Coturnix japonica: one gene and its partner. The protein of the gene in region 1 binds, or shares a complex with, the protein of each later gene. Links are inferred from orthologs where the notes say so. Each region holds a gene or a part of one and is shown in the gene's direction. Other genes may lie near its edges.

Region 1 (16,197 bases):
GGTACAGGTGGACTGAATTGCTGTTTTTAAATATGAATGGAGGCCAACATGGGGAACTTGGAATGGTTGAAACCAAATTTTGCTGGAAGTCTTCCTGTGTTCATTTTTTTTTTTTTCCCTTTCTTCTGCAAGATAACACTTTAGAATAATTTAACTGTCAGGATGTTCTCAGTAAGTCGCGTGTTACAGAAATTGTTTGCAAAGTTACATTTGGGACCTTATGTTAGGAAGCGCCAGGCACTTGAAAACTTGTGCATAACTGGTATAAATTTAAGCATGGAGAATTGGAAATCATTTTCAGAGAAGATCCCTAAGAACCACTTTCTTTGAGTAAAGTCGAGACTTTGCAAGTAGACATATTTTTCTTGAAATACTTTTCAAAAGAGATCAATCTGGTCTAACCATAGGTGTCCCTGTTCGTTGCGGGGGAATGTGATGCATCTTGGACTAGATGACCTTTAAAGGTCCCTTCCAACTCATACGGTTCTATGAAATGAAGGCAGAGCATTTTCACTGAAATCTGAGTGGGTCAGTGATGGAGTAAATATGCAGATTGTGAGTGATATCAAGATTTGCTTGTACATTAACCCTTTCTTTTCCCTTGTGTTTATTTCTTTAGCCGGGTTATGATGAAGTCAACCCAGACTGGAAACTGTCTAGTGAAAAAAGAAAGAAAATAAAAGGTACATGATATGGCTGAATTATTATTTTAAATCATTTTGTTGTTAAAAAGCATTTATAGTAATATAAAAGTATTTGAAATAGCTTAATTTAACTACACTTACAGTAGTTGACAAGATGGTGTATATGATTTGAATTTGTAGCATAGTATAGCTGAATAAACATCACGATGTGGTTTTTAAAAATCCTCTCCTGGGAGTATTTTCATAGATGTAGCCATAAATAAAAGGATATTTCAGCAAATATAGGCCTTCATTAATTGTTACTTCTATGGAATGCTGAATGCTCAGCAGAAGTCTCAGCTTGTGTCATAAGCCATTACTTTTTAACACAATAGATAACGTATTTTTAGAGACCACAGCCTAAGACAGAAGCTTACCTTTACCTTTTCTGTCTATCTGTATATATTCTATATATCTAATACGTCTCAAATACTAATGCAATTTGAAGAGCTTGTTTCCTTTTCTTTCAGAATTTGACTCTTATGTTCTTTGTCTGGTTTTGCCGTATGTCAGACTTCTTTTCCCAAAATTCACTTAATCATATGCAGCCATTTATCTCCTGGGTACTTCATGGCTCTTCTATGAGTGCAGATTGTTACTTGTTCAAGATCCATTTACTGATGCTTGAATTTGTTTTTGTTATTAAAAGCTACCCATTTCTTTGTGCTGTTTTCTTGGTGATTCAATTTTTGGGTTAAGATCTTCATGGCTAACCAGATGACTAAGCACTGAGGTAGCAGAAGAGTGTTAAGCTGATTTGTTTCTAACTGCTGTTTGGGAAAAGATAGCTTTTTTTCAGAGACATGAGAAGTGATAATATATTAAACAAATTAAGCTAGCTCTTTGTGGTGAACATTTTGTCCCAGCGTCCAGTTACCATGCAGGTGACACAGTTTCCTTCCTCATTATGCTGTTTTTTTAATCTTGTTGGCACTTTAATTTTCTTAATAGTGTCACCCTGTGGGCTGTTTCAGGAGCCTTGTTCACAGTTGTCAGTTTTCCTCAAAAGCAGTGAAACCTTTTTTGTTTCATCAATATAATGATCTTGGTTAGAGAGACTTGACCAAGGATGTCTAGGGAAATATTAAGGAGGCGTTTATCAGCCATCTAAGATTTGTCAAGTTTTATGCAAGTGAATCAGTTTATTGTGAATTCTTTTTCCAAATTATATTAAAAAGCAAACAGATTAAATAAAAAATTAAGTTTCTTCTTCCCTCCCCTTCCCTCCTATCCTTCAGCTAACTGGAATGGTTTCACTAAACTAGCAGACATAAAATACAAATTCAGTGAACCAAGAATGTATATAAAATAATAAATGCTTGTTAAATTTAGACCATCAGATGTTAACTCTTAATAGTTGAAGCCACTGCAGTTCTTATCTGGTGTTTAAAATTGCCTTTCCTTATATGGTGCTTTCTTATTTCTTTATTTCAGATAAAGAATCTTATTACCCACTGATAGATGTAAATTGGTGGGCAGATAGTTCTGTGATCCTGGCTCGTTGCTCTGGTGCATTGACTGTGTCATCAGCCAAGACATTAAGAAACTTGCTGGGAAAGTCATGTGAGTGGTTTGAGAGTTCTCCTCAGGTCACTTCAGCTCACGATGGAGGATTTCTGAGTCTGGAGGTGAGGAATGCACATAAGCAAATATAAGGAATGCAGTAGAAGCAGTGTTCTGTTGTGTATGTTGCATGCATATATGTGCTTATTAATAAGAAAAGTGATTCTTTATCTCTAGGCAGGCAATTCTGAACCTCCTGCAATTCAGATATCTATAAAAAACTTAATTGCCAAGTAACGTGGCAATTGCACTTAACAAGTAATTGCCAAGTGTAGATGGAAAACTTCTGGAAGCCTGCATCTGAATTAAAAAGTTTTGCTGCAGGAAACAGTTTGTGTCAGCTCACTTAAAAAAACCAAAACAAAACAAGAAACTGCTTTGTTAGTGCATTTGAAGAATACTTCAAGCATCCCTCTTGTTTTGAAACAGATGCTTGCAGAGGGAGTATGTTTACGGGAAGCAAGGAATAAATCGTAATTGACCAAGCCTTGGAAGGGATCTGTTTTTTATTCACCTTTAATAGGGTTCTAGGCAGGAGTAGAACATAACTTTGGTAATGAAGTAGACCAGGAATTTTCTTTGAAAATAAGAATGCTTACACTAGAATAGATCTTAAACATCTTAAATATTTAGCTGAAATAGCTGAGTACATACCAGAGCTTTTTGCGCACATTTCTGGCAAGTTTTGTTATTTAAGAAATGAAATAGAGCCAGTGACTGGCATGTTACAGCCTATGGAAGAACAGTTTGGAAATAGATCTGCATTGAACAGGAATCCATAATTTGCTTAGCTAATAGTTGAAAACATTGTTACACTCTGAAGTAAGCTGTATAATTATACTGAGATTAAATATAGATCTGTAAACAGTAGATCTGTACTGTCTGTGGATGGTATAGGATTGAGTGTATCTAGTATAATAATGGACTACTGATAAGAAGCCTTTGCCCTTGCTTTAGTAAGAAAGTGATGAAACCTCAGATCTAGAAGACAGACCCAGTCAGGGCTTGTGGAGAGTATTACTCAAGCTGAGAAGTAAAGGGTTTACAAGCGAAAAAATGTTGATTTTGAAATTGAACTTGATCCAGGTTTATAAATACCTGAGGTGTGGGAGACATAGTGGTGAGTCTGGTCTCTTTTCAGTAGTGCGTGGGGATAGGACTAGGGGTAATGGGATGAAACGACAGCATAGGAAGTTCCACACAAATGTGCGGAAGAACTTCTTTACAGTGAGGGTGACGGAGCACTGGAACAGGCTGCCCAGGGAGGTGGTGGAGTCTCCTTCTCTGGAGATATTTAAGACTCGCCTGCCTGGACGCCTACCTGTGTGATGTGGTGTAGGGAGCCTGCTTTGGCAGGGGGGTTGGACTTGATGATCTCTAGAGGTCCCTTCCAACCCCTACAATTCTGTGATTCTGTGTGATTCTGTGAAATTTGAAGTACTGGAAGTGGACATGTACCTCATTGTCACAAAGATATACTGTGTGGAAACTTTCTATTTTACCCTTAAGAACTGTCTTCTGTGCAGTGTGAAATAAAACTAGTTCCAAAAAGACTACGCTTGGAGAGCAGACCTGGTGATGAAGATGAGGGAGAAGATGACTCTGACTCAGATGATGAAAATTCTGCTAAGGACAGATACTTCAGCTACCTGAAGCAAGGCCTATATTTTGTGACAGAAATGGAACGATTTGCTCCTCCACGGAAACGTCCACGTACAATTACAAAGAATTTCCGCCTTGTTAGCTTAAGGTCCACGACTCCAGAGGAACTTTACCAGAGAAAAGTGAGTATAAAAGGGAAGATTCCATCTCTGGTAAGGAGCTTTAATTGAACAGATTTTTTTCTTCTTCTTATTTTTTAAGACTTGCTATTTTAACACTAGGTGCGTATTTCTAAGGGCCTCATAGACAGCAGTGTATCATGTTACCTAACATAAGTTAGGTAAAACCAGCATTGTAATTGAAGTAACAGGATGTTTGCTGGTCATCATGTTTCATTAGTGTGGCCAGACTCGTTGTGCTAATGTGTTTAAAAACAATGGAAGAATGGGTGGATATATCGAATTAAATTAATTTAGCTTGTTATTATCTAGGGAATGGGTTAATCTATACCTTGATATTGCTATTATATGAATGTTTTTTGAGACGTGCCATGCATACAAAGTAGTCTTGTGACTCACTTTTATCGCATAAGAGATGTGTCTTTATTTTGAAGGCAGTACTTTGTTTAGGACACTTCAGTTCTTCTAATGATAAGCTAAAACTATAGCTATTAGAGTTTTCAGGGGGTGCTGCTGTTGTAGTGATTGCCTACACAGCTTCTTTCCTTCTTACTGGGAAGTTTGTGGTTTTCCTAGAGGTTACTATCTGGCCTGAGTTAGGAGTTCTACATATTCTAATCGTACATTATGTTTGCTTTCCTACGTGCGTAAGCACACCCATAGTAATTATCCCTCTACCTGTTTTAACACAGAGAATTAATTATTGATTGTTTAATATTGACTTTCATTTTCATGTGTTTGCTTTTTAGATTGATAATGAAGAATATGAGGAAGCTCTGTCTTTGGCTCAGGCATATGGCCTTGATTCTGATCTTGTGTATCAAAGGCAGTGGAGGAAGTCAGCTGTTAATGTTGCTTCAATTCAAGACTATTTGGTGGGTTTGTTTTTATGACTTCAGCATTTTTATTTTTATATTTTATTTTTAGAGTTGCTGTGTAATCTTTGCAGAAATCTCCATTGTGTTCTAATTTATGCAGCATAAACTAGTGGCAGTTCAGAGAGCTGTCCTGTAAGTGTAAGAGAGTGTAAATGTAAGAGAGAGAGTCATCTTGTTAATTTAACTGAAGGCCTGATCTGGAGGACTTAGAGCTTTTATCTGAAATTAGAAAATATCTCCAAGGAGAAATTTCTATCAATGTGCTTTCTCTAGTGTAATCTTGTCTTCACATGCAGCATTAGATTGTTTCCTGGGAATAAATCATAACTGCAAATATATTGCTGTTAAGAAATTTCCAGGTATTGTAGAGCTATATGGAAAGGTTAGTTTGGTATCCATAGCAAAGGCTGAATAATGAAACTTGCATCAAATCCAGCCTGTAACTAAAGCTCTTCTGTAGAATCAAACATAGTTTTTTTGTTTGATTGTTTTGGCATGAGAAAAAATAATCCAGCAGGTGAGCATTGTCAAACGGCACAACCTACCAGTGTGTGGTGGTGTAAAATCTTCCAGGATATCAAGAGAAATATATGCTGATTTTAATTTTTTTTTTTCCCAGTCATCCTATCTGTCACAAAATCTCATAGGCATGTGGAGAGATCAATACTGAAAATGACTCCGGTGCTGTTGTGGAATACGTTGAATGTATAATATCTATATCTTTATCTCCGAAACATTATATTTCTGATAGTATAATCAGCAGAGATACTAATCAGAGAACAGAAGTAGTAATTTCTGTTCTTATTGCTGTTAAGTCATCTGGCATTTGTTCATTAGCTTTGTAAAGAGTCTTAGCTTCATTACATTAACAGGACAAAGTAAAATTCATGTACTAATAAACAAAACTGTAGATGACTGTTTGTGGAGTATTTTCCTCATCTTTTTTTTGGTTCAAATCATAGAATCACAAGGTTGGAAAGGACCTACAAGATCATCTAGTCCAACCATCCTCCCTTTACCATACCTACAGAAAAACACTAAACCAGATCTCCTAGCTCCCTATTCAGCCTCTTGAACACTGCCAGGGATGGCAACTCCACCACCTCCCTGGGCAGCCATTCCAGTGCCTGACCACTCTCTGAGAGAAAACTGACAGTCATCAGATTAACTTGACATTTTCTAAGTGGTAGAAACAAATTAAGATGCTTTAACGTCTCTGGTTTTATTGTTTTGGAGTGTGACTGGAAGACTTTGTGGGGAAAAAGTATATGGGGTTATTAGTTAACAGCCAGCTTAATATGAGCCATCAGTGTGCCCAACTGGACAAGAAGGCCAGTGGTATCTTGGCTTTATATAAGAAATAGTCAGCAGGAGTAGGAAGATGGTTGTTCCTATTGGCTTGGCACTGGTGAGGCTGCATCTCAAGCACTGTATTAACTGCCCAGGAAAGTGTTGGAGTCACTGTCCTTGGAAGTGTTCATGAAAAGGGTAGATGTGGCACTGAGGGACATGGTTTAGTGGTTGTGGTGGTTTTGGGTAGTTGGTTGGACTAGATAATCCTAGGGGTCTTTTCCAATCTTAATGATTTTAAGATTCCATGAAATGTGTAACAATGGGCCTATGCTTTTGTTCTTGGATAGAGCAAAATTAAGAAGCGTGCGTGGGTTCTTCATGAGTGTTTGGAAAGAGTTCCAGAGAATGTGGATGCTGCTAAGAAGTTGCTTCAGTATGGCTTAAAAGGCACAGACCTGGAGGCTCTTGTGGCCATAGGAAAAGGAGAAGATGGTGGCAGGTTTGGGAAGAGTGGTTTTTTTTTTGTTGTTGTTGTTTTTTTTTTTTTGTTATTTCTTTTTCTTATTTATTTCTGTTTAAATCAACTAATGAAGTAATAAGTAATAATTAAAATAATGATATGCTGATGAAGTGCATAAGAAGAATTACAGTGCTGTGAATCAAAGTACTTAAATATGCCCGCAAGCTGACTGTGTACTTTTTACAAAGTACTTTTGTACTGATCTTGTTGCTTTCTCTGGATATCATTTTATGCATCCTGGAGAACTTCCAGTGTCATTATTTTTTCAGTGAGGTTGTGTTTCCTCGGCCTTTCCTGGTAGCTGCTGCAGCTCCTACAAGGATATTTTATTGTGTATCTTAGTTGTAGTGATGCTTTGTTACTCATTTGAGGAGGGGAGCAGAGCAAAATACAGGGGTCAGAAATGCTTGCAGAGATGATTGTTATTCAGTTCCTGGTGGTGGAATAGGATGTTCTTTCTTTATCCAGTCATCTGTTACAATTGTACACTATAGAAATGCTGCCAATTCCACTGCTTCCTTTGGAATTTAGAAATATTTAACAGTCATCATTGTTGTGTTTTATTTTTTTAAGGAGGGTAGGGAAGAGGTGATGCCTTTTGTTGGCTTGGGCTGCATGTCTGCTTCTTACTGTAGCAGATTTCAGTATTACAATTTTATATGGAAGTTGAGATTTTTATTTAAGACTTCAATAGAAATCTCTGTTGATAGACATATTTAATAGCTATTTCCTACATCTTTCTGTTGTTTTTACCAGCATGAGTTGGTTGTTCTTTTGTCCTCCAGATTTATCTTACCAGGGGAGGCAGACATTGGTATTCCCTATGAAAACTTCTTGTCACCAGATGAAGAAACAGACACTAAAAAGGAAAAAGAGTCCAGGAAGAATCAAGAACTACTGTTATCATTAAACTTCTCAAAGTAAATGCAATGTTATGATCTATGTTTTACTCAGAATTACAAGATTCTTATAACTACGTAGTTAGAAGCATGTAGTTATGTTCATGTACATGATTACTAGTAGAAAAGCAGTGGAGACTTAAAATTAGTATTGTATTGTGTCCAAGTTCTTAGCTTATTAATTTCTCAGTATATTTTAGTTGTTCAAATATGTAATTATTGTCTTCATTTGTGTATGATGTGGTGTCGATTATAAATGTGAAAACATCTGTTTTGGATATAGGCTGACCCTGGAACAAAAAGAACTGTGCAGGAGCAGGCTGAAGTTGTTAACTTACCTTGATCGCCTTGAAACTTATGAGGTGAGAAACTTGGTAATGGCTTAAGCTCTTTTTGAGTTCCTATTACACAGATAGTCCTGTAACTTTTTTTTGTCACATCATCATATTTTTTTTGTTATATGTTGTAGTATTACTGTTTATAGTCTCCTTGAAATATAGCAGTCTCTCACTTGAGAAATGTGAGCTGTTTTCTATTCAAGCTAGTGTATTTTTCCTGCTTCAAGGTTGCAGATGGCTAGCTTTTAACTTTGAGGCATGGTTGGGCATGCTTTGAACATATTGTGTCCATTTGCCAGCGAAACAGCCTATTTCCCTCCCCCCCCCCCTTTTTTTTTTTTTTTTTTTGGAGCAACAATTGTTTAGTTAAAAGTGTATGTTAGTTGCTATTAAGAGGACTTGGCATTTACGTGAGTGTGTCATTAAAGTAAAATGTCAGGGGAAATCTGATGCATCTTAAATAATAAAACAATTTTGAGGATAGGGAATAATATACAAATGTATGAGATGTGGAATGTAGTACAGGATCACTTGCTTTGAAACTGCATCAGTCAGGCTAAGTAATAAGTCAGTCTAATTCTGATTCTCATCTCCTTCTCCTCTTTTTCTTTTCTTGAGTTACAGAGACAAAACTTTTTGGAATGGAAATCTGTATTTTATTTTTTTTTTTAAATTTAATTTTGCAGTTGATAGTACGAAGGTTGATTTTTACTGCATCCCCTTGTAACTAATGCTGTAGAAACTTTATTTAGAATAGAGCAGAGAATTGTCTTAGCTTATCAATCAGAAATGCATTTTTTTCCATACTGAGATAAATTAAAACCAACAAATAAAAGTAATCAAAAACAAACTAAAAGAAAGCAAGCCTCCACCATGTTTTTTTCCAGGTGTAGTTTATGTTTATTTGTGGTATGATGTATATGGTTTTGGGTGCTGTTGCAAATCTTGTATAAAATCGGGTCTGTAATTTTTTAATTATTGTTTTTTTTTGTTTTTTTTTTGTTTGTAGGAAATCCTTGGTGGTCCCCATTCAGCTGAACAGCACTATGATGGTGAATTCTTCAAGAAGTTCAGAAATCAAAATATTGTGCTTTCAGCAAGAACTTATGCTCGGGTATTAACATTTTCTTAATTTTTTTCATTATTGCTTCTTTGGTTTAGGTGTTTATTTGTTCCATTGAAAGTAGTTGAATCTCAATGGAAGTTTATGCGGAAGATGTTTTTGTTTGATTGTAAATAAGTAAATGTGGGGACACTCAACAAATTTTCTTTATTGAGGAAGAAAATTTTGAAGTCAAGGGTTCATTATATGACTTAAACTTGCATTACTTGCTCTGTTTCAGTCTGTATCAGTCTTCTGCAGTTTATTGTTTTTTATGTTTAGGAAAGCAATGTCAGAGCCCTGGAAATCTTGTTTACTTTCCATGGATCAGCTTTACTTCCACACAGACAAGCAATTCTCTCCAATTTTCCAGAGACTACTTCACCACATGAATATGCTTTCTTGTTGCCTGAGGCTTGGTAAGAACACATTAGTGGATATTAACTTAAATGTTACACATAAATTGGTTTGCATATATGATGATCTTCTCTAAGTCATTGCCTGGAATCAAGGAATTAGCTTTGTCTCCTGTGCAAATCTTCATTAGCTGTTTTACTTTGTGCCATTTGTGCAAACTTTTTGTCTTTTGGGGTGATTTACTCGAAAGTAAGGAATTTAGATGTTCTTATCTACATTACCCATAAGCACAGACTCTTAACCTGCAGCTTCTGATCCAAATTTTCACTGATGTGAGTAGAGGTCTGTAAGTGTTTTCCATGAACATGCAAAATTAACAGATAATAATGGAAGTGGTTTCTTTCTTTGTTTGCTTTTTCCTGGATGGAATATAAACATTGTATTCTTCTGAATTTGTTTTTAAATATTGTATAATCCTTAAGTAGTCAGTAACTTCAAAATCATGAATTTTCTTGTCACGGACTCTTACTCTCTCAAAGGAAGAATTAGGAAAGGGCTTTAATCCGACTTTCCTTTGAGTATAAAATGTAGTTTACTGTCAGTTTCATGTTGGCTATTAACTTAAACCTTCACAAGAGAGTCTTGAACATCATTCTACTGTTCTCAGTATTATTTAAAAGAAATTTTTGCTTCTAGGTTGTTTCTTTCAAATGCTTCGATTACAGAATTAGTTTTGAAGTGTATTGCTCAGTGCCCACATAGAATTAGTGAGGTTTCATTTTTTTAGATTTTTGCCATAGGACTTTGAACTCATACTTCAGAAGGATAGTTCTTTTGAGTAGATTAGAGGTTGTTGTTGGAGCCTTCCAGCATTGTAGTTGCATCTTTCATTTGGAAGTTTAAACAGTGCTTTCTGGGTAATTTGCTATGTAGAAGAGGTTTTATTCACATAGTCACTCCTGTGATATCTTTCCCAGTTTATAATGTTTATAAAAACTTTTTCTGAGTGGAAGTTAGTGTTGTTTTCTTGATACCTAATATTTGCTGGCATCCTTTTAGTCATTTTGTTAATATTAGGAACATGTTCAGTGTGTAAAAGCCCTTGTTTTATGCTTTTATTAAAGTAACAGATCATAAAGATAAATTGTTGCGATGTTTATAAAACAGAGAAGATGGATTCTGAATTTTCTCTGTTGTTTTAATAAGATATATGAGGAGGCAGGAAGGAAGGCTTTTCTGAATTGTTATGATTTATCATAGAATCACAGAATCACCAGGGTTGGGAAAGACTTTAAGTCCAACCATTCACCTATTACCACTAGCTCCCACTAAACCATGTCCCTCAACACAATATCCAGTCACTCCTTGAACACCCCCAGGATTGGTGACTCCACCACCTCCCTGAGCAGTGCATTCCAGTTCCTCACCACCCTTTAGAAGTAATGTTTCCTAATGTACAGCCTGAATCTCCCCTGCCACACTGTCTACATTAGGATGGCACTTGAAGTCTGGTGTCCCAAAAACTTTGAAGCACAGAAGTCGGTGTAGCAAAGAGGAAAAAAAGTAGTAGATGATGGTGTTTACGAATGTATTTTTGCAGAGTTATGATGATCATAATATATTATTACTCCTTCCATTTGTTATAATTATTTGTCAGCTTCTTTTATAATGATGGTTCCTGAATCTGTGCTGGGTCATGGGTATTCAGGCTCCTTCACAAAGGTTCATTAGGTACGTCATCTGTATCTTTTAAGACAACTAGAGTGAAGATCATAGAATTTTAGGTATTCAGAGGAGTTGATCTCTCTTTTAAAAATGACAGCTAGTTTATGGTTAAGATTGTTTCCCTCAGATTTTTAAAGGTAATCTCAGAGGGAAATAATGCTTTACCTCTATTATAAACACATAACCAGAGTCTTTTTGTTTTAATTTCTTTATCCTTTTATTACGTTTAACTGTTATATTGCAGCATTACAGTTCACCTTTAAACTCACAGAATTTGGGAAATTCGAATGTGAGGTTTCCTCAATATCAGTAACTTTGCACACTGCAGCAGTATGAAAAAGCCTTCACTTTAAATCGGTGACTTCTGTATGCTTCTGCTTTTTTACTCTTTAACTTCTTAAATACTGGGTTTCAGTCCTGGCTTATAGTGAATTTTTATTGGAGAGTTCTGAAAAAACTCCATTTGTACTGGAATAGGTGTGGAAATATTTTTTTAAAACTTCAGATGAAGCTTTTAAAATCAGATAAACATCTATAAACAAAAACATAATTAAACTGGGAGACTTTTAAGTGGTTTTCCCTTTATCTTTGCATTATGATACCTTCTCCTGAACTTGGTTTTTAGTTACTGCCTGTTGCACTGCAGTGTTTCAGTGACCGAGCTTAGTCTTTTTTCTTGTGTATATAATTGATTTGATAACTGAATGCCTATGAACTGTCAAACGTATACTCCCAGTTATGAGCTATTAGTTTCTTCTGCTGAACTGCCTTTTAGTTTAGTTCAGATGTGTTTATGTTAAGAGGATTAATCCCATAGTCAGTTTTGTTTTTGCTTTTATTCATTTCTTTAGCAGTACAGTCAGAGAAAACTTATGCAAGAAGAAAACACAATGGTTCTGAAGAAGAGCATCAGTGTAATTGGTATTAATCTCAAGTATGAATTTTAAAATCTCTAATCTTACTGTCGACTTAAAATTAGAAAAGCATGTTTTGAGGGTATAATTACATTTTCATGACTCTGTATGTTCATGCTCCTCTTTGCATTGATTTCTGGTAGGAAAAGAGAAGGTTCTTGTGATGTATGTAAAAAGTAGTTTGGAGGAAATGAAGTTCTTAAAAGTGGCCTTTGTAGGGATCTGGGCAGCTGCAGGGTTGGTTGAATTTGGCTAGTTGGATGTTGCTGAAAGTTTGCTGGTTGAAAGTATTGTAAGTAGTATTAGTCTTAAACGGTTTTTGAATATGGAAGTAGGAACTTAAAGCCATGAAGAGGCCAAGGGGAGCATGAACTGTTGACAAGGAAGGTGGGAAGTTTAAGAGGAGCTGCTATATGTGACCAGAGCTGCTGTTCACAGTGACCTGAGCATCCTGAAGGAAATGCAGACTTCTGTTCCTGTGAATGAAGAAACCTTTGGAACAGTGAAAGCTGTAGACTGACAGGAGAGAAGCTCTCCTGCAAAGGACCAGGAGGTCCTGATGAGCACAAGCAAGTCATGAGCCAGAAGCATGTCCTGGAAGCTAAGGCCAGAAGCAACATGGCCTGCTTGAACAAGAGCATACCCAGAAGGTGGAGCAGACTACTGCACTCATTCAGCTGCATCTAGAATACTGGATAACCAAGAAATATTTTGGTGAACCAGAGTGAAGTTAGCAGAAGAGCGTCAAGATGTTTAGGGATCTGAGCACTTTTAAAAGCCTGAGGGGACTTGGTGTCTTCATCAAGGAGATAGTTTTGGGGGAACCCAGGAGCAGTTTTCTCTTATCTTTCTATAGAGTGCGAGCTGAACTGCAGTTCTGATTTTGCTGTGTTTCTGTGATGTTTATGCCTAGCTTATCCTGTCTTTGTTTACCATGTCAATCTACTGCATGTGTGTTGCTGAACTGTACCTTGGCTTGCCTCCTATGTTATTCTGTCAAATTATATTGCTGATCTGGTCTTGCTTGTAGCTTTTCTATGGACAGAATTTCTTACACAAATAATCATAACACTTTTATAAATGTATTTATTTATAAATGTACATTTTTATAAATGTATTTTCACAGTGTGGTGGCAAGACTGGGAGTTCATCTGTGTCTTTAAGGTAGCCCATTTAGATTTTGTGAAAGTGGTTGCCTTACATTTTCACTGTATACATAAAAAAAACCAACACAGCAGTCTCCTAAATTGTGACTGAATAGTGTTGATTGGCATTTCGGTTGTTTAGGTTATTCTGTCCAGGTAATTTAAGTGTAAAAAATTTCTTCTTTTCCTAGGTTACATAAGAAGATAACTATATCATTAAAAACTAGTTTGATCTGTTCATGCAGAATCAAAAAGAAGACTTTTCTCTGGTTGCTAAGTTGATTTGGAAGACCTGTCATTGAAATGTGCATGGTAGGGGTTCTGAAACGCAGTCAACTGTGGTAGCCAAAAGCTGGGATACCTTTTCCACTATTTAATGTGGATCAATTCTCCAAAAATGGTGCTTTTGGCACTTTGTTTTAAACAGCAGCTGTATTCCACAGCTGGTGAATTTCATGTCTTACAGCCATTTATGGAAAATGAGTCACTCTCCTTCCCACCTCTTCAAAATGTGTCATATAGTAAATTGAATAGTTGTAAACCCTAAATATATGTATTCAGTTGTATAATTGCCATTAGTAATTTGTTACTGAACTAGCCCAGTTTTACATGCAGTATGAAAAATGTAGATATGTATGTCATGTCTGTTTATGGTGACATATCTGGGATGCATTTCTTATAGAATCCTAGAATCACAAGGTTGGAAAGAACATACAAGATCATCTAGTCCAACTGTGCTCCCGTCACCACTGCTACCACAAGCTACTAAAGCAGATCTTGTAGTTCCTCATCCAGATGTCTCTTGAACACTGCCAGGGATGGTGACTCCTCCACCTCCCTGGACAGCCATTCCAGTGCCTGACCACTCTGAGAGAAAAAGTTTCTCCTTCTGTCTAATCTAAACCTCCTCTGGTACAACTTGCTGCCGTTTCCTCAGGTCCTGTTTGTTGCCTGGGAAAAGTGGCCAAGTCCCTCTTCATCACAGCTTCCTTTCAGGAAGTTGTAGAGTGCAATGAGGTCTCCCCTGAGCCTCCTCTTCTCCAGACTAAACAATCTCTGCTCCCTCAGCCACTCCTTCTAAGATTTATGTTCCAGACCCCCCACTAGTTTCATTGCCCTTCTTTGAACACGCTCCAGGGTCTTTCTTGTAATGAGGGGCCGAAAACTGAACACATTACTCAAGGTGTGGGTTCATCGGTGTTGAGTACAGGTGGATAATTACCTCTCTGCTCCTGCTGATCACACTATTTCTAAAGCAGGTCAGGCTGCCATTGGCCCTCTTGGCCAACTGGGCACACTGTTGCCTCATGTTCAGCCAACTATCACCCAATACCTCCAGGTCCCTTTTCTCTGCGTGGGGTTATTGTGGCCAAAGTGCAGAACCCGGCGCTTGGCCTTATTGAACTTCATCCCATTCACCTCAACTCAGTAATCCAGCTTATCCCGATCCCTCTAAAAGGCCTCCCTACCCTCAGGCAGATTGACAGCACCTCCCAACTTGGTGTCATCTGCTATGGTGATTTAGCAGAGGGTTGTTAGAGTTAGGGTACTATGGTTAGGCTGTGGTTGGACTTGATGATCTTTGAGGTCTTTTCCAAACTGGGTAATTCTATTCTATGATTCTATGGTGGTTCATCCTCAGTTACAGAACTGTAACATCATAAAACTGTTTCATAAGGACTGCAGAACAGCAGAAACAAGAATTGATTTTTCCCATTGCACCTTGGCATGCACCAGGTCCAGTACTGCCATCAGACAAGGGAAGGGGTTGCTCCTATGTCCCCCTATATTAAAAAAAAAGTACATGTTTTTTAGTAAAAAGATACTGTTCTCAAGTATGTAAGAGTGATTTTTGATTTCAAGTCTGAATTCAGTTTGCACAAATTTTAGGGTTTTTTTTTTTTTTTTTTTAATTACTAATCTTCAATTAGATGAGTCTTTGAGACAGGCCTGCTGATTGAAATCCTTGGGGAAAAAAAATAACAACAAAAAACCACACTCAAAGTTGCTATTAGTAATAGAAAGAATTGGACTCTGACCTTAAAAACTAAATTAGACATTCCTCTTTTGAAAACCTGTCCTTGGAGAGAAAAATAATCTGTAGGTTTGAATAAATGCATTTGATAGGATACCGGATGCAATAGCATGGGTCTCTTTTGTCAAGGCAAAGAATGAAATGAATTGCCAAGCAAACACAGACAATAGAGTGGAAAGAGCAATACAGGGAGAAGTCAGCTCTTTTTGAGGAAATAGAGTTGAATATCTCCATAATCTGTCAGTTTACTGACCTATAATTATGTTTATTCTACTGTTGAAAAGGATGTAGAGAAAGGGAAAGAATAGGGGAAACAGTTACTCAGAAGAGAAAAAGCAACCAGAAGAATGATCCGCAAAACCAACCAAACAGAATCTCAGATAATGTTTGAATGAAATTAGTTTTGGGACATGTGATGGTTTCTTTTAATTGAAAGAGAGGGATGCTTGCCTTAGTTACTACAGTGTTCGATTCCAGTACCTTGATTTTTGGATGAGTGCACACTGCTGTTTCACTCTAAATTAAGCACTGTCTCTGACCTCTGGAATTTCAGTTTCTAGAGCAAAGGTGTGAAGTTGCTTAGCACAAGCAGAGAGAGTGGATGATGGATGTGATAAAATAGGCTCTGTGTTCCACATTCAGCAGACTACTTGTGCATGCTGAATTCACTTTCGAACCTGTCAGATTTATGTATTCTGTGCAGTCGTTCTGACGCGTCTCAGTGGTGCTGAATTTGCTGTGTATGTATTGCAAACAAAGTAATGGTAGAAAAATGGAAGCCCTGTCTCATAGCATAAGCTTGTTCCCTTCCCCAGCTCTTCCTCCTCAGTTTCATTTGCACTGAATGCTTTTGAGTTTTCAGGATGCATTTGGATTCCCAAAATCTTTCTCAGCTTACACTATTGTGATTGATAGCAGCTGTTGTTTGTTTTTGAGTTTTATAGCTATATTTCTGATGGTGACA
Region 2 (16,197 bases), on another chromosome or scaffold:
TCTGTGCTGAGCATAACAGACCACTTAGATACTTAACAGAATTCAGTGTAAATCTTTCCAGTAGCTTTGGTCACAAGGTCTTCCAACAGTGGGCTCCAGACAAAAAAGAAGAGTGGGTGGGAGTTCAGTCTGACAAAACCACCCATCTAGTTTTTGGTGAAGGCTTAGAATATCACTTCCCGCTGAAAGAAAATGTTAAATGGAAGATGGTTTACAACATTCTGCTTTACACTATGGATTGTAGACTGGGGTGTGGTGGTCGAGGCTGTTGTATGAGATCAGGGATGGCGGTGGAAAACTTTGGTCCGGTTTGGATGGCACTCAGAGTAAGCATTATTTATGTTCTTTACTTTCTTTTTGCTTTGTCTCTCCTCTTTACGATAGATGGTAAATTCCGGGCACTGAAGATGGAGTTCTCCCTTCCGCCATCCACTTACGCCACTATGGCGATCCGAGAAGTTCTGAAGATGGACACAAGCATTAAAAACCAAACGCAGCTGAACACTACCTGGTTACGCTGAGTGAACTGCTGGCACGGCCTAGATTTTAACATGTACAAAGTGTTTTCCTACTTACGTTCTGTACAAATCTTTGAAGGGTGGCAGTGAGAGATTTGTATTTTTTAAGTTTTTATTAGTGCAAGCAGTTAAATTAAGTAGTTATTAGCAAGATGCCGGTTGTAATGTAATACGGGCCTTAGTGACTGGTGCTTTGTAACGAATGGACCATGAGGTCGCTTGAGCTGTGTTGCTGCATCTCTGAGAAGCAGGCTTATGGCTTCTGACCTGGGCACATGTTCGTCTCGCTCTGTTTCAGCGAGCAGTGAATGTTTTTATCAGTTCAGCACACCTTGAGATCTCTATATTAAAGTACAGCATTAGGAAAATTAGAGCTGAGTGAAGGTACTGATGGCTGTTTGCTTCCAAGAAGCTGCTGCGGTCAGCCGGGCTGGCTGTGTGCTGCCACAGGGCACAGCTGTTTTAATTAAACACGAGCTTCTTCCGGGGAAAATGTGTGCATTTTCAGCTTCACCAAGACAAGGTACTGGGAATAGTTAACCAAACACAACGGTGTGTCAGTCCGTAGCGCCTCGCTCTGTCCCTGGCTGAGCCAGCCTGCTGCTGGGAGGCAGAACGAAGCTGCATTTTAAACGATTCTAAACCAAATAGGGAATTCGTGCTGCTTGTGTGAATAAAACGCCGTGAACGGAAGGTGCTCCCGGCTCTGTGCTCCCTGAGGTGGGGTTATGGGGGAGCTGTGTGGAAGGGGCGGGCGCGGCCATGGGGGTGGCTGAGGGGGAGGCGGGTGCGCATGCGCCTCTGGGCCCGCCCCGGCTGTGATGTGTGCGGCCTTGGGCCGCGCTGTGCTGACGCGGCGGGGCGGGGAGCGAGGGGCTGCGGGGCCGGCGGTTTGATATTGCTATTAAAGGCCTCGTTTTAAAGGCCGGCATGGCTATTAAAGGCCTCGTTTAATGTTCAGGTGAAGAGGAATCGCCCTGCGTTCCCAGGAGCCCCGTGTCCTCAGTAGGTCGGTAGTTGGTCGTGTTCCCTTAGTGGTAACCAAGTAGAAATTACGTAAATAACATTGCGGAAAAAAAGAAGGCATGGCAGCCGTTAATGTGCCGAAGAAAGAAGTCGTCAGAGATCCGGATCGCTGCGATATCCCGTACTACGTTTCAGAATTTGTGGAAAGAGAAGTTGGGAATGACTATGATTCTCTGAAGAAGCTGGGCAGCCTCATTGAGAAGCTGTCTGAAAACAAGAGGCAGCTGGAAGAACAGGTAAGTGTCTGTGCTCATTCTCCGTGTGATTTTTCTGTGTGAGGCTTAATGCATGTCTGTAAATGCAGGTTCTCACGGTTTCATCCGAAGTCCCTAAAAGAATTCAGAACGCCTTAAAGAATGCAGAGGACTCAAAACAATCTCTGAATCGGCTTCTAGAGGAAGAAACTCTCCTGTCCGATTCCATCAGCAGCCACTTAGAGAAAGCTGAGCCGTGGATGGAGGATCTCGGGGTGCTGATCAGCCAGGTGGAGGAGATTGAGCATCACCTGGCCTATCTGAAATGGATTTCCCAAATAGAAGAGTTAAGGTAAAGCCGATGTACTTATGGAGAGTTCTTACTAGTGGTATCACACAGCTTCTTCAAAGATTCAGTGTTAAATAATCACATTTAAGGAATAAACGAGAGCAGCAAGTTGTCATCTGGCCATATAAACTGTTAACGTGTTCTCTGGTGAGAACTGGAAGTTATTGCTCTGGCTTAAGGAAGAGAACAGTAACTGTGTCGATATGTGGATGGAACTCTTTCACCCACTGTAAATTATGGTGTAAGAACTAAAATAATACTGGAATATCTTGAGCGGAAATGTTACGCTTCAGACTTCGTGATTCTGAGTTTTCATTCTGGTACACTGATTTTATCGTAATGGGAATGAACAGTGCTGTTTTAGTTAATGTGATTTGTAGCTTCCTTCAGTGGAAAACTTTGTGTAATGCTTGTAAAGAATGTCAGAAATTGGAAGATTCCTTTGGGTCAGATTTTGTACAGAGAGACTTAAGTTATGAAACAACTTGGTCTGAGCTATGAAAATGTGACAGGTGTGCTGCAGTCTGAAATTTGCTTCCAGTTTTCCTCCTGGGAAGCGTGAGGAAAAGCAGATCTTTGAACAAGTTCCATAAAGAGCAGTGCTTCAAAGAACTTCGGGCCTCCCTTCTTTCCTTCTGCCTTCAGGTCTCGGTGACAGGCAACTTAAGGAACTTCACACAAAGAACTTGTTTCGTGAATCCTTGCTGTAGGATGTATGTGATGGGAGTGGTAACCTCGTTAAAGTATTTCAGATTGAGCATGTTTTCTGCCAGTTTCTCAATATGATGGTTCTTTTGTGTTATCTTTAGTGAATTTTTGTCTCAACTCTTCTTGTATTTATGTTCTTGTGTTCATAGTGATAACATTCAGCAGTATCTGATGACCAACAATGTTCCGGAGGCAGCCAGTACTCTAGCGTCTATGGCAGAACTGGATATTAAACTTCAGGAGTCATCTTGTTCTCATCTTCTTTCGTTTGTGAGATCCACTGTTAAATTTTGGCATAAAATTCTTAAGGACAAGTTGTCAAGGTACAGGACGACTCATCACTCCCTCATTTCATGTTGTGCCGTAGCTTGGTGGTAAAGTGTGTGTTTTGTGTTGCAGTGACTTTGAAGAAGTGCTGACCCAGCTTCGTTGGCCATTTGTGGGGCCACCGCAGTCTCAGGCGTTTGGCCTTACTGCGCCAGCCAACGCTTCTGATGTTTACAACAATTTAGAGGTTTTGTTCTGCCAGCTTCTGAAATTGCAAACATCGTATCCTTTAAAAGTGTAAAGAAAATTGCCTTGGGGGTGTTGGTTGGTGCTTAGCTAAACATGAGCCAGCAGTGCACCCAGGTGGCCAAGAAGGCCAATGGCATCCTGGCTTGTGTAAGAAATAGTGTTGCCAGCAGGAGCAGGGAAGTGATTGTACCCCTGTACTCAGCTCTGGTGAGGCTGCACGTTGAGTACTTTGTTCAGTTTTGGGCCATTCACCACAAGAAAAACACTGAAGCCTTGGAGTGTGTCCAGAGAAGGGCAACAAATCTGTTGAGGTGTCTGGAGCGCAAGTCTTGTGAGAAATGGCTGAGGGAAGTGAGATTGTTCTGTCTGGAGAAGAAGAGGCTCGGGGGAGACTTCAGCTCTCTCTACAACTGCTTGAATGGAGATTGGTGTAACTGGTGATAGGGTGAGGGAACTGTCTCAAGTTGTGCCGGGGGAGATTGAGGTTGAATATTAGGAACAATTTTTTCTCTGAAAGAGTGGTCAGGCATGGGAATGAGCTGCCCAGGGAGGTGGTGGAGTCACTGTCCATGGAGGTATTCAAGAAACATTCAGGTGTTGTACTAAGGGACGTGGGTTAGTGGAAGAATATTGGTGGTAGGTGGGTGGTTGGACTGGATGATCTTGGGAATCTTTCAACCTTGGTGATTCTGTGGTTCTATTCTGCGATCCTGATCTGCCTTTGAGGTAAATCAGAAGATGCTGCTCATCCTGTTCCTTTAGTTTGAGGGTAAAATCAGGCAGAGATAAAACTCAGGCTTTTTTTTCTTTCTTTTCTTTTTGTTTTTTCCCAAACAAACAAAACCCAAAACAGGAATAAATGTGGTCATGTTATGCAACGTGGCGCTGGAACAATTCTGGTTGGTTAGACCAGGCTACTTGCACCAAGGTGGGAAATCACATATTGCAAGTATTATTTTAATGAATCTTTGATAGTCCTTTACGAAACATGGATGGATGTCTCTTGGGTACAGGTTTGGGAATGATGATGGGGTTCTGTTTCTTTTCATGATAGTGATTTCCTAAACCATACTGACTTCAGTGACTTAAATTGTCATTGAATAAATAATAATTAGCAGCCAGAGTTATGTTAAATATTTTATAAAACTGAAACGTTTTGAGCATTGTTCAAATTGGAGGCATTTTATAGCTTGTGTGCCTTCGGACAGTGAGGTAGAGCTAAAACGTATTTGTTTTTGTAAACCCATTGTATTTAAATGATACTTACAGAGAAATTCAGCATTTCTCCTTGACTGTCAAACTTAGAGATGAGCTGTTAACCAAACCCAAACAGCTGCCAGAAAAGTACTCCTTACCTCCATCACCACCTGTTATCCTCCCAATACAGATCATGCTGAATCCTCTGCAGAAAAGATTCCGCTACCATTTCACTGGAAATAAACCAACCAATGTTTTAAGCAAGGTATGGAAAGAAAAAAAAACAGTTTAATTTTATTGCTACTATTTTTAGCAGCATTAAATTACGTAGCTTTAATGCTTTCATTTTGGAAATTCAGTTTCTTAAAATACGTGGTACTTGTATGTACTGTATGGACAGGCATCAAGGCAGTGCTTGGAGACCTTTGAGAGGACTAACATCTTTTCTGGGCTAGGCAATGTTTTTCTGAAATCATTCCTGCATTCGCTCCCATCATTTCAGAAGCATAGATTAATTTAGTCTTTGTCTTTACAAATTGTTTTGCAGTGTTCAGTATTGCTTGAACTCAAAGACTGTATAAGGCTCTGACTTTGATTTTTGTTGTTGTGTTTTGCAACGTTCATGTGACTGAAAATACTGGATCCTGCTGCTGGTGTATAATGGGTATAATTCTATTTGCCATGTGTCCAGTTTACTAGTTGGAAATTGACTTGCTTTTTGTATGAGTTATCTCCAAAGGCTGAGTCTTTTCATCCAAGAACTGTCATGTAAGCAGGTTTCTTACAGGTGTAACGTTAGCACTGCTGTAATGCTTCTGCAGCAGGATTTGAGAGACACTTTTTGTAAGAGATTAGATCTGTGTGTTTGTGTTGACAGTCTTAGGCAAATCAAAGTGTATTTGCACTCTGGCAGTTGCTACTACAGCGTATTTTTAATAGCGTTATGTATATTAGTGAGTTCACTAATTTAATTTTCTTTTTTAAATAAGCCTGAGTGGTATTTGACACAAGTGCTCATGTGGATTGGAAATCACGCCAAGTTCCTTGATGACAAAATCCAGCCAATATTGGACAAGGCAGGATCGCCAGTGAATGCTGGGGTAAGCACCTCAGTGGTTTTGTGTATGTATAAGTACCTACACAGCTTGTGCAAGCAACTCTTCTGCTGATCTTAGTGTGCAGTGAGACTTAACACAGTCCAGCAACAGTTTTAGAAGTTAAATACATTTGCACATATTTATACATGTCTATACCTCTGATTTTTCTATTCACTTTTTTTTTTTTTTTTTCTCTTTTAAAAGCTTGAATTCTCTCGTGCTCTGGTAATGCTGATTTTGGAGAAGCTGGCTACTGATATTCCATTTGTGTTATATGACGACACTCTCTTTTGTCACCTTGTGGATGAGGTACTTCTGTTTGAGAGAGAGCTATTCAGTGTTCATGGTTATCTCAGCAGCTTTCCCAGTTGCATGCATATTCTCTCAGAAGAGTCCTGCTTCCAGAGATGGCTGACAGTGGAAAAGAAATGTAAGACTTGGAAGGAATTTTGTTGGTCTGTATATGTTTTCATTCTGATTGGGCAATATATCAATTCCCCAGGTAGGATGAGCCACTTAAACTACAAAAGACATGTTTTTGAGGTCAGCAGTGAGTAGAATGCCCAGGGGTCAGCATTGGTGCAGTCCTGCTTAACATCTGTACTGATCTGGACACTGGGTGGAGTGCACCCTTGGTAAACTTGCAGATGATACAGGACTATGGGAAGTGGCTGATTCTCCATAGGGCTGTGCTGCTACCCAGAGGGCTGTGGACAGGCTGGAGCCCAGGTGGGCTGGTTATGGCGAGAAACAACTGCTGGCACAAGGACATACTGGAGGCCACCCAGCTGGAAAGCTGTTCTGCAGAAAGGGATGTAGAAGCCCTGGTGGACACTAAGTTGAACGTGAGCCGGCAATGTTCTCTTGCTGTCCTGAAGGCTAATGGTGTCCTGCATTAGGCAAAGTATTGCCAACAGTTCAAGAGAGATGATCCTTCCTTCCCTCTATGCTCAGTACTGGTGAGACCACTACTCCTGCAGCAGTACTGTGTCCAGTTCTTCCCCCGCCAACATTATGTGGGGAGACATGGACATACTGGAAAGAGCCCAGTGTAGGGCCACCAAGATGATAAAGGGACTGGAGCACCTCTGCTGTGAGGAGAGGCTGAGAGCTGGGGCTGCTCAGCCTGGAGAAGAGGAGGCTCCAGGAGATCTCATCACCATTCCGTTCCCCTCTACTCTGCCCTTGTGAGGCTCCACGTGGAGTACTGCTTCCAGGCCTGGGGCCTCCAGCACAACAATGACGTGGAGTTATCAGAGTGGGACCACAGGGCCATGAAGATGATTAGAGGACTTTAGCATCTCTGTTATGAAAAGGATGAGGCAGCTGGGATTTGTCAGCCTGGAGAAGAGAATCATAGAATTACTCAGGTTGAAGGCCTCAAAGATCATTAAGTCCAACCACAGCCTAACTGTAGTACCCTAACAACCCTCTGCTAAATCATATCCCTGAGCACCACATCCAAACAGCTCTTAAACACATCCAGGGACAGTGACTCAACCATCTCCCTGGGAGCCTATTCCAGTGTTTAACTACCCTTTCTGTAAAGAAGTGCTTCCTAACATCCAACCTAAACTTACCTTGGCACAACTTCAGGCCATTTCCCCTTGTCCTGTCACCAGTGAGATTTGCCTCTTGATGAGAAAGCTCTAGGTAGAGACCCCATTGTGGCCTTCTGGTAGTTAAAGGGAGCTTATTAACAGGAGACACGATCTTTGTTAGTTTGCTGTGGAGGACATGGCCCTGGTCACCCTGTTATAGGTGCTCCTCCTTAAGCAGGAGTTTGGTCATACAGACCCAGGTCCCTGCCAGCCCCACCCATTCTGTGATACTCCAGTATTCTGTGGTTATTTTGACTAAAAATTGGTTTGGCTGCAGTACTGCTCCTGAAGTTTATAGGACCATTGCCCCTAATCTAGTATGGTTATTTAACATATAATCTAGGGATCTAGTATGTTTATTTTTAGATAGTGTTATACGCTTATTTGTGCAAAGACTGACTTGAAATTGAAACGAAGGGAAGGTATTAATTTTTGAGGAAATGGGGAGGAAATATACTGGAAAGGAACCAGTCATTTAAAACAGAAACCACAGTCAACCCTGATGTTCTGTTTGTGTCTGTAGTGCTGTTACTGCAGCTGGTTCTATATAAATCAAGTCATCGGTAGTTTTTCTTTACATGAAGACGTTAAATTCAATTTATTGGAGATAAAGATTTTTATATTTATGGTTTTTTGGGCTTTAGATAATTGCTTTTATTATTAAGTACTAACAGCATTTACAATTCTTTTGCATCTCAGTTGCTCTTCAGAAAATGGACTCTATGCTTTCATCAGAGGCTGCATGGGTATCACAGTACAAAGATATCAGTGATGTGGATGAGATGAAGGTCCCAGACTGTGCAGAAACTTTTATGACTCTGCTGTTAGTTATAACAGGTAACTGCAAATCTATGGGTGTTCCTGTTGTTAATGAGTAGCAGAAAAATGGCAGCTAATTGATTGCTGTATTGAAGATTCCTTGTGTGAGCAACAATCACTGAGTAAAGTTGTTGCAGTGTTGCGATAGTTAAACAGTTTTCATGTTCCTCTCTTGTGTTTTGGGCACAAATGTCAGGACAAAGAATCTGGAGCTAGTGGCATGTTTAGGAAGTAACAACTGAAAAATGACATTTGATATTTACCACCCTAATGCTAGAGATGTTACAACTTGTCACAGTGCAGTAATAAAAATACATCGCTATTCCTTTTCAATCTCTGAGAACTTAAGAAGCAGATGTTACTTAATAGCTGTTTAGAACAGGAGCAAGGATGTTTTCAGAAGGCCTTGTTTGCATACTCACTGCCTTTGTCGTACTCTGCATCTGGCTTCAGGAGCCCCATGAGACTGCTAGATGGTGAGCTGTGGTAACATTACTTAAAGCGTTAGAATACAGTACAGAACCATGATGGGATGGAAATCCCAGTTATGTTGTTTGTTTACATACTTAGCTTTTGCAGTGAGTAGTTTCCTTGATACTGTTGTGAGTTGGGTGTTTTGAAGCTAAGTGCTGTCTGATGCTTCATAGTAGTAAGGATATATAGTAAACTGCCAGTAATGTTTCTTGTTCAAAACACTTTTCTTCAGTGCTGGAAAATACCAAACATAATATTATAATGATAACATTATATTAATTCCCAGACAGGTATAAGAATCTTCCAACGGCTTCCAGAAAACTGCAGTTCCTGGGGCTACAGAAAGAGTTAGTTGATGATTTTAGGATACGATTAACTCAAGTAATGAAGGAAGAGAGTAGAGATTCTTTAGGCTTCAGATACTGTGCGATCCTCAATGCCGTTAACTACATAGCAACTGTGCTGGCTGACTGGGCAGACAATGTAGTAAGTAAATATTGTGTTTTAATATGAATTCAGCTTGAATAAAAAAAGATATTGGTAGATTACTAGGCACTGTTCTAGTTTTATTGTTGCAGATGGGATGGGGAACAAGGACAAGTGATTTTGGCTATTTGAAAGTGTTCTGCTGTCTTAAAGCACATACTTATTATTTCTCTGAATCTGTTCCTTTGACCAGTCTGCTGTTGTATTTGAAACCCGTATCAGTTACAGTGTTAGGATTAAAGCACAGTGCTTTGTTTTTACAGACATGGGGACCATGAGGACATTGTTTTTATAATCTTAAAATTGTAAAACAATGAGAGTGTCAGAAGAGTGTTTTCTAGAACCCTACCTGTTAAAAGTACAAATGAAAAGTTCAAATAAGGTTATTTTTGGTAGTACTTACATCTGACTGTCTTTCTCCAGTTCTTCTTGCAGCTACAGCAGGCTGAACTGGAGGTCTGTGCAGAAAGCGATGCTGTCAGCCAGCTGCAGCTGGGGCAGCTGGCTTCAATGGAGAGCTCTGTCTTTGATGAAATGATCAACCTCCTGGAACGCCTGAAACACGATATGTTGAGTCGTCAAGTGTACCACGTCTTCAAAGAGGTCACAGATGCTGCAAAGCTGTACAAAAAAGAGAGGTGATTCCATCTGCTCACACTCTTCTTGTATTGCAGTGGTTTCTTTTTCAGTTAAAAACACTGAGGCAAATAAAGGCAAGAATAGAAAAATAAGAAAAATCAGTTTTCTGAATAGGAAGGGCTCAGAGTAGTAAGCATCTGAAGGTTTGGTTTTACACTGACATCAAAGCTATTTAACATTATGTTTTCTAAAGTACGTCTGCAATAAATGGGCACATTACCTTAAAAAAACAGGATAAGTATAGTTCAGATGAGAATTGTTCTCTGCAAAGTAGGATTAAAAGTGGCATGTAGTGACTGCTTCTGTCTTCACAGAATCTCAAGGTTTCTTGGCTGGTTGATGATGAGTTCCTAAAATACTTCAGTAAACAATTACAATAGCTCAGTGATTACTTTTAGCCTTGACATGGAAGGGGAGAAAACTGCACCATTGGAAACAGCTGAGATTTAAGTGATATTTTAACTTCAGCTATTGTAACATGAATAATTTCATTGTGATGAATTCAATGTGACTATTTCTTTCAGGTGGTTATCTTTACCATCTCAAGCAGAGCAGGCGGTAATGTCTTTGTCAAGCACAGCTTGCCCAATGTTGTTGACTCTACGGGACCGATTGCTTCAACTAGAACAGCAGCTCTGTCACTCTCTGTTTAAGATATTCTGGCAAATGCTCGCAGAGAAAGTGGACACTTACATATATCAGGAGGTGGGTGTTCACAATATACACGTGGTACAGTGTAGGTGATGGTGGCTGGCCTAAACAGAAGATACACCCGTTTCTGTTGGCAGATAATCATGGCGAATCATTTCAACGAAGGAGGAGCAGCACAGCTTCAGTTTGACATGAGCAGAAATCTTTTTCCTTTGTTTTCACACTACTGTAAGAGGCCAGAAAACTACTTCAAGCAGTAAGTAGGAAATCCCATCTGTCAGTATTTCAAAAGAGGATGTCCAGATGCATGTGTTTTACACATCAACAAGGATTTTTTCAGTTTGAGAGGGGAAGAAACACTTAAAATATGTGGATCATCTGTGCTCCTAGGGAGGCACAGTGTTGACATTTATAACAGAAAATACTTAGCAAGAATAAATAAGCTATTTCATAGAATCATAGAATGGCCTGGATTGAAAAGGACCTCGATGATCATCCAGTTTTAACCCCCCTGCCGTGTGCAGGGTCACCAACCACCAGACCAGGCTGCCCAGAGCCACACCCAGCCTGGCCTTGAATGCCTGCAGGGATGGGGCATCCACAACCTCCTTTTAACAATAAACTCTACTACAGAACCAGGCACTCAGCACTTCCAGCTACGATCTAGCAAGGAGACCTGAATTAAATCAGAAAACCTCCTTGGGCAACCTGTTCCAGTGCATCACCACCCTCTGGGTGAAAAACTTCCTCCTAATATCTAATCTAAACCTTCCCTGTCTCAGTTTAAAACCATTTCTCCTTGTTCTATAACTGTCCACCCTCATGTTTGTTTTATGCAGTACTTTCCAGTTCAGTACTTCTGATCCGTTTCAGAAGTCAGCAGGAGCTTTTTTCCTTAGTTGCTGGGCATACAGAATTAAGTATCCTGTGGTTGCTTCTATTACTAATCTATGTATACCTTTTTCCCTCTTATAGCATCAAAGAAGCCTGCATTATCCTGAATCTGAATGTTGGTTCTGCCTTGCTTCTGAAGGAAGTACTGCAGTCAGCCTCAGAAAACGAAGCACCGTTACAACCAAACCAGCCATCAGCAACAGCAGCGTTAAATGAACTGGGGGTTTACAAATTAGCACAACAGGATGTTGAGATTCTTCTCAATTTGAGAGCTATTTGGCCAAATGCAGGCAAATAAAGACTTTCTTCAGAAGTGGTTAAAACTTAATCTAGATCACTTGTTTCAGAAACATAAGCAGCGAGCTGTGTCACGGCTGTGAGCTAAGCTTAGTTATTTTACATACAGTTCCAGAGAGATGACTTGAAGATGCTCCGGTCCTGTCTTCTAACCACACAGGTCTTACTTTGTTTTCCATCACTGCTTTGTTTGCACACTTAGAAGCTGACGGGCCCTTCATTACTAATGAACGTGTTACTTGTTCTCTGATGATCTGCCTTGTGGAGCTGCCGTGCTGTCACCTTGATGTGATGAATACAGGTGCATGTGTGTGACTGCAGCTACATACAGCATGTCCAGCTGGGGCACTCTCACTTAAGCACATGTGTTTTCCACTTCTGAATCCCCAATGCAATGGGTGTTCTGTGTTAAAATGTGCACAGGAAGGCTGGGCATGGAATGAAGGAATATATCACTGTTTTATTTATCAACACGAATTCAAAATTCAATTTATTTCTTTTGCTGTCCCAAAGTGCCCTCTATTTTTTGAACAGGACTTCATTTATGCTTGAGCTTTAAAGGCTGTTATTTGGCAGTGCTGTCTTTCTCCAAACATGAACGTGCTGAAGCTGCTGAAGCTGCTGATGTTCTTTTTGTACCAGCACTGAAAGGCCACAGTTGGAGGAAGAAATGCCAGAGCACGCACTTTGGATTTGTAAAAGGGGTTTCTACTTAATCAGGCGATCTTATTGTAATTAATACATTTCTAGTGCCTGGTAAACATAAATGTGTTTTTGTTGTTTGTTCTTTACAGCTAAAATGGATGGGGAAAAAAATAAGTGCATATAGTCATAAAACAATAAGTGCATATAGCAATAAAGTCAGCTTGACGCACTAGTAAATGGATGAAGCAAAGCAGCTATTCTAAATACACAGAGCACAGCACTGTTCCAACTACTACACGGTCCAGCCTTCCAGCAGTGTTTTCAGCCTAGGACAGAAGAGAACATCTGGTTAGGCAAGTTAGGATAACTGGTTTGGTTATTTATGGTGGCTGTAAGTTACCACACAATGTCCCTTGAAGGATACCATAACCAGCAGCAATTAGAACAACCTGGAGCTCGCTTCATTGCCGTGTTACGGCCTCTGCTGTGGTAAAACATCAGGCAACGACAGCTATTCTATGCTGCTGTGGCCTGCAGGATTGCCTGATGCTGCCTGGGTTGCACGACCCTTCCCACCGCACTCACATCTCTTCCTTGAACGTGGCCAGTCCGATCTCCTCCTCGTCCCAGACGCGCAGCTCCGCCGTGCTCAGCCCCAGCGTCTCAAGAGCTGGGGGAAGGAAAGCGGCCCCTGAGCAAGTCTTCGAAGGATCGATTTACAAGCAGAACGCGGCCGGGATGTCATTGTAACAGTAAACATCTTTAGCATCCCGAAGCGCGGGCTGTGTCGGCACAAGTGCGGACGGGACCGACCTGCTCGGCACTGCCGGCCCGTGACGAAGCCGCGCCCCGCGGCGTCCATCATGCGGAACATGGTCTCCACATCCGCCTCGTCCAGCACTGCCGGCATGGCCGCCCCGCCGCGCCTCGCCGCTCGCACCGCTTCCAGCGTCTGGATCAGGAACTGCCGCGGCCGCTCTGTAACGGAGCGAGGCCGGGGCTGCTGCGGGCGACCCGAGTCCGTCCTTCGGGCCCCTCCCCGCGGCCACCCCGACGGTCTCCTGACGGAACCCGTCTCCCTCCCCCCGTTCCCCCGTTTCCCCTCAGCCGCTCCCCGTGCTCCGCACCGGGCCGGTGGTACAGCAGCAGCGCGGCGAGGCGGTGAAACAGCGCGGGCAGCCCGTGCCGCTCCAGGTAGTCGCGGCTCTGCTGCTCGCCCGCCGCCATGGCGCGTTGCTACGAGACACAGCCGCCACAGCCGCCGGGCGCCGCCCCTCACAGCCCTCAGAGCCGCCAGAGGAGGGAGCGGGGCGGTGCTCGGGGCCGGGAGGGGGCGGTGAGTCCACGGCGTGTGGTACCGAGCGGTTCTGCTTCAGCGGGCAGCGGCCGTAACCAGCGCGAAACGCACCGCCACAAACCGACACCTGCAGTGTGAGCACAGCAACCGCAGGAGTCAGTCAGCGCGCTCTGTGAGGAACGGATCCAGGAATCACCAAGCGAAGCCCATGGGGACGCACACACACACACACACACACACACATATATGTATCATTTCTTTGTTAAGAAAGCACAGTTTATTTCCTTGAAAAACGTCTCGGGTGAGCTCTGAGATGCCCCCCTGGGCTGACACGGGAGGAACTGCTTTTCTGGTGATGGAGAAAAGCAGGATTTGACAAAACAACTGAATGATTCCTGGGTTCACCACAGCAGTGCTGATAATTCAGTTTTAATCACATCTGCAAGGATCAAATCTATTTTTGTGTGTTTAATATGGTTACTTATATAAACTGAATTTTGCTATAAGACTATCTGCTGTGGCAAGGAGATGAGCCTCTTGTAGGACACAACACATAACTTCAGACTTCCATCTCATTACAAAGGACTGCACAGACTGCAAACAGGCCTAAAGAGTGAAACAAAGAGGAGCAGGGCCTGCAGGCACCACAGGTTCTGCACAGAGAAGTTCTTCACAGAGAGAGTGGTGAGGTGCTGGCACAGGCTGCCCTGAGAGGCTGTGGATGCCATGTCCCTGGAGGTGTTCAAGGCCAGGTTGGATGGGGCAGCCTGGGCAGCCTGGTCTAGTATTAAATTGGCAGCCCAGCATGTAGCAGAGGGTTGTTGTGGGGCTGTTCCAGAAAGTAATGCCATTTAGTCTGTGACACAGTTAGCCAGCCTTTGTGGAAGGGTGTCTGTGGCTCTTTGGAAACAAAGACTCACAAGAGTCAGTACTGGAACTCACGGGAGCGAATGGTCCAGTAACACTGCAGAGTAGAAGAGGCTTTGGAGAGTGTTAGGATAAAAAGCCCAACACAGAGTCTGTTACATGCTCCAGGAGCAAACATACACTTGGCTTGTTCTCGGCTGAAAGGAGCACTTCCCTTTGGCTTCTTTGCAAGTGTCCAGCTCCGCAAGACAACCCAAGCGAATGGAAAGCTTTGTGTTGTTGAGAGAAACTAAGTACTATGGGCTGATGTGCCATACATCAATGGTAGGGAAGGTTAAAGGGTTGACGTAATCCTTTCCAGGCCACATGTGCTCACCTGTGACACGGCTCTCCAAATCAGCACTGAGTACATTTGCCACTGGGAAGGGAGGATGGCTGCTCTTCTGCAGTGATGCTTTGTCACTACTCCCCCTCCCTGGCTGGGTCCAGGCCCAGATGCAGACACACGGGACTCACAAGTTTATCGGCCACTTACTGCATTTACACCACGAGGCCCTTACAGCCGTAGCATTCTGTACATTTACTTTATGCCAAGCAGCTTTTCTGAAGAATGAGTCCTGTGTGGTGTCACATTAATCTGAGCTGCTCTGAATCAACCAAACCCTGCTTTAACTTCAGAACCAAACCTGACAGGTTTGGAAAACACACAGAGGGGCAGTAGGATGCTTGGCACCACATGGAATCCCTTCTGGTGGCTCTACCTTCAAAATGAGTCTCCCCTGGATCCTGAGGATTTCTGGCAAGCGTCCCTTGAAATGAGGAAAGCTTTTGGAATTCTTCCTTTCTCCCTTCTGTAGGGAGAGCTGCTCACAGACTCCATCTTCATGTTGCTGCAGGTCAGCCCTAACCACTACAGAAGGCACCATCCTCCCTCCCCAAAAAAAGAGAATCCAGCTCATGTAATTTGTGATGCATTACGAAACGAGAACGGGAGAGCATGCATGCCATCTACCGTGCATTCTGCAGCTGGGAACTCAAAGCAGGGCCTGCTACTGAGTTAGTGGCTGCATCTGCTTTCAGCCTAGGAAATGAAGTTTTAAAAGTCGTCTGTACTTGTTTGGAGTTGTAACTTTCAGGAGGTGCTCATGGAGAAAAACAGCAGGAAAAAATGCATGAAATAAACACAGTTCAAAAGTCTGAATCTGCTGCGTGAATCTCCTCCAAACATTTCTGGAACCAGAACTTGGCCTGGCTTCCAATCATCAATCCTGACAGATTTGGATGAGTAAAACAGATCCTGGTTGCAGAAAGCAGTGGCTTCTACAGCAAATATTTCTCTGCTAAGAACAGAAGCCTAAGAACTGGAGTGCAATAAATAAAAAGTTCTGGCGTGATTTGCTTACCTCTGCAACCGGTGGCATTTAGAGCGTGTTAGATAATAGGAGAATACTGTTGCGAGCAAAATACTTGTTGCATAACCCCGAAGGGTGTGGGAAACCAAACAGAGAACAGCTTGTAAAGCAGGACAGCAAAGCTGCGAGCGCTAATAAATGACTCAGTCATATTTGGAAAATAAACGCAGGGTCCTTGACCTCTGCTGGCTGTGAGCGATGATGGCGAGCAACCAGTAACTCGTGGCTGCAATAATCTCTTGTCTTGTTTGTATCCCTGATTTCTATTGTCTGTAAGAAACACCATCTTACAAGCACAGTGTCTCTCCAGCTTACATGGAGATCGCTCCCTTTCAGATGAAACTTCGATGTTTCCTGTGACCAAACGCCGTTTGGTTTCTCTGCTGCATACTGAAAAGGATAAACTCAAGACTAAAAAGAAAAATGAAAATATAAGCAGCCCAAACATCCTGTGCGGTAAAGGGGAAGTTCAGGATTAGCTTTTGCCACAGACATCAAGAAGAAGCGAGA

The links.
Region 2: NBAS (region 1) and RINT1 share a complex: the UniProt entries of both Homo sapiens proteins name them as parts of the NRZ complex. The link is inferred for Coturnix japonica from reciprocal best matches to the Homo sapiens genes NBAS and RINT1.

The regions. Positions count from the first base shown.
Region 1 is NC_029518.1:90,203,603-90,219,799, reverse strand, and holds part of NBAS (neuroblastoma-amplified sequence), read left to right. Parts: intron 1-619; coding exon 620-683; intron 684-2,117; coding exon 2,118-2,311; intron 2,312-3,772; coding exon 3,773-4,030; intron 4,031-4,776; coding exon 4,777-4,902; intron 4,903-6,545; coding exon 6,546-6,697; intron 6,698-7,503; coding exon 7,504-7,638; intron 7,639-7,900; coding exon 7,901-7,979; intron 7,980-8,964; coding exon 8,965-9,069; intron 9,070-9,339; coding exon 9,340-9,476; intron 9,477-16,197. UniProt on the Homo sapiens protein: Involved in Golgi-to-endoplasmic reticulum (ER) retrograde transport; the function is proposed to depend on its association in the NRZ complex which is believed to play a role in SNARE assembly at the ER. Required for normal embryonic development.
Region 2 is NC_029516.1:12,589,058-12,605,254, forward strand, and holds RINT1 (RAD50-interacting protein 1), read left to right. Parts: upstream 1-1,442; 5' UTR 1,443-1,603; coding exon 1,604-1,780; intron 1,781-1,848; coding exon 1,849-2,090; intron 2,091-2,944; coding exon 2,945-3,118; intron 3,119-3,194; coding exon 3,195-3,344; intron 3,345-4,616; coding exon 4,617-4,773; intron 4,774-5,497; coding exon 5,498-5,608; intron 5,609-5,809; coding exon 5,810-6,035; intron 6,036-7,905; coding exon 7,906-8,043; intron 8,044-8,785; coding exon 8,786-8,985; intron 8,986-9,408; coding exon 9,409-9,623; intron 9,624-10,148; coding exon 10,149-10,329; intron 10,330-10,412; coding exon 10,413-10,531; intron 10,532-11,250; coding exon 11,251-11,467; 3' UTR 11,468-11,513; downstream 11,514-16,197. Other genes in the region: PUS7 (pseudouridylate synthase 7 homolog), read left to right, coding at 385-521; EFCAB10 (EF-hand calcium-binding domain-containing protein 10), read right to left, coding at 12,404-12,437, 12,697-12,781, 12,925-13,089, 13,239-13,338. UniProt on the Homo sapiens protein: Involved in regulation of membrane traffic between the Golgi and the endoplasmic reticulum (ER); the function is proposed to depend on its association in the NRZ complex which is believed to play a role in SNARE assembly at the ER.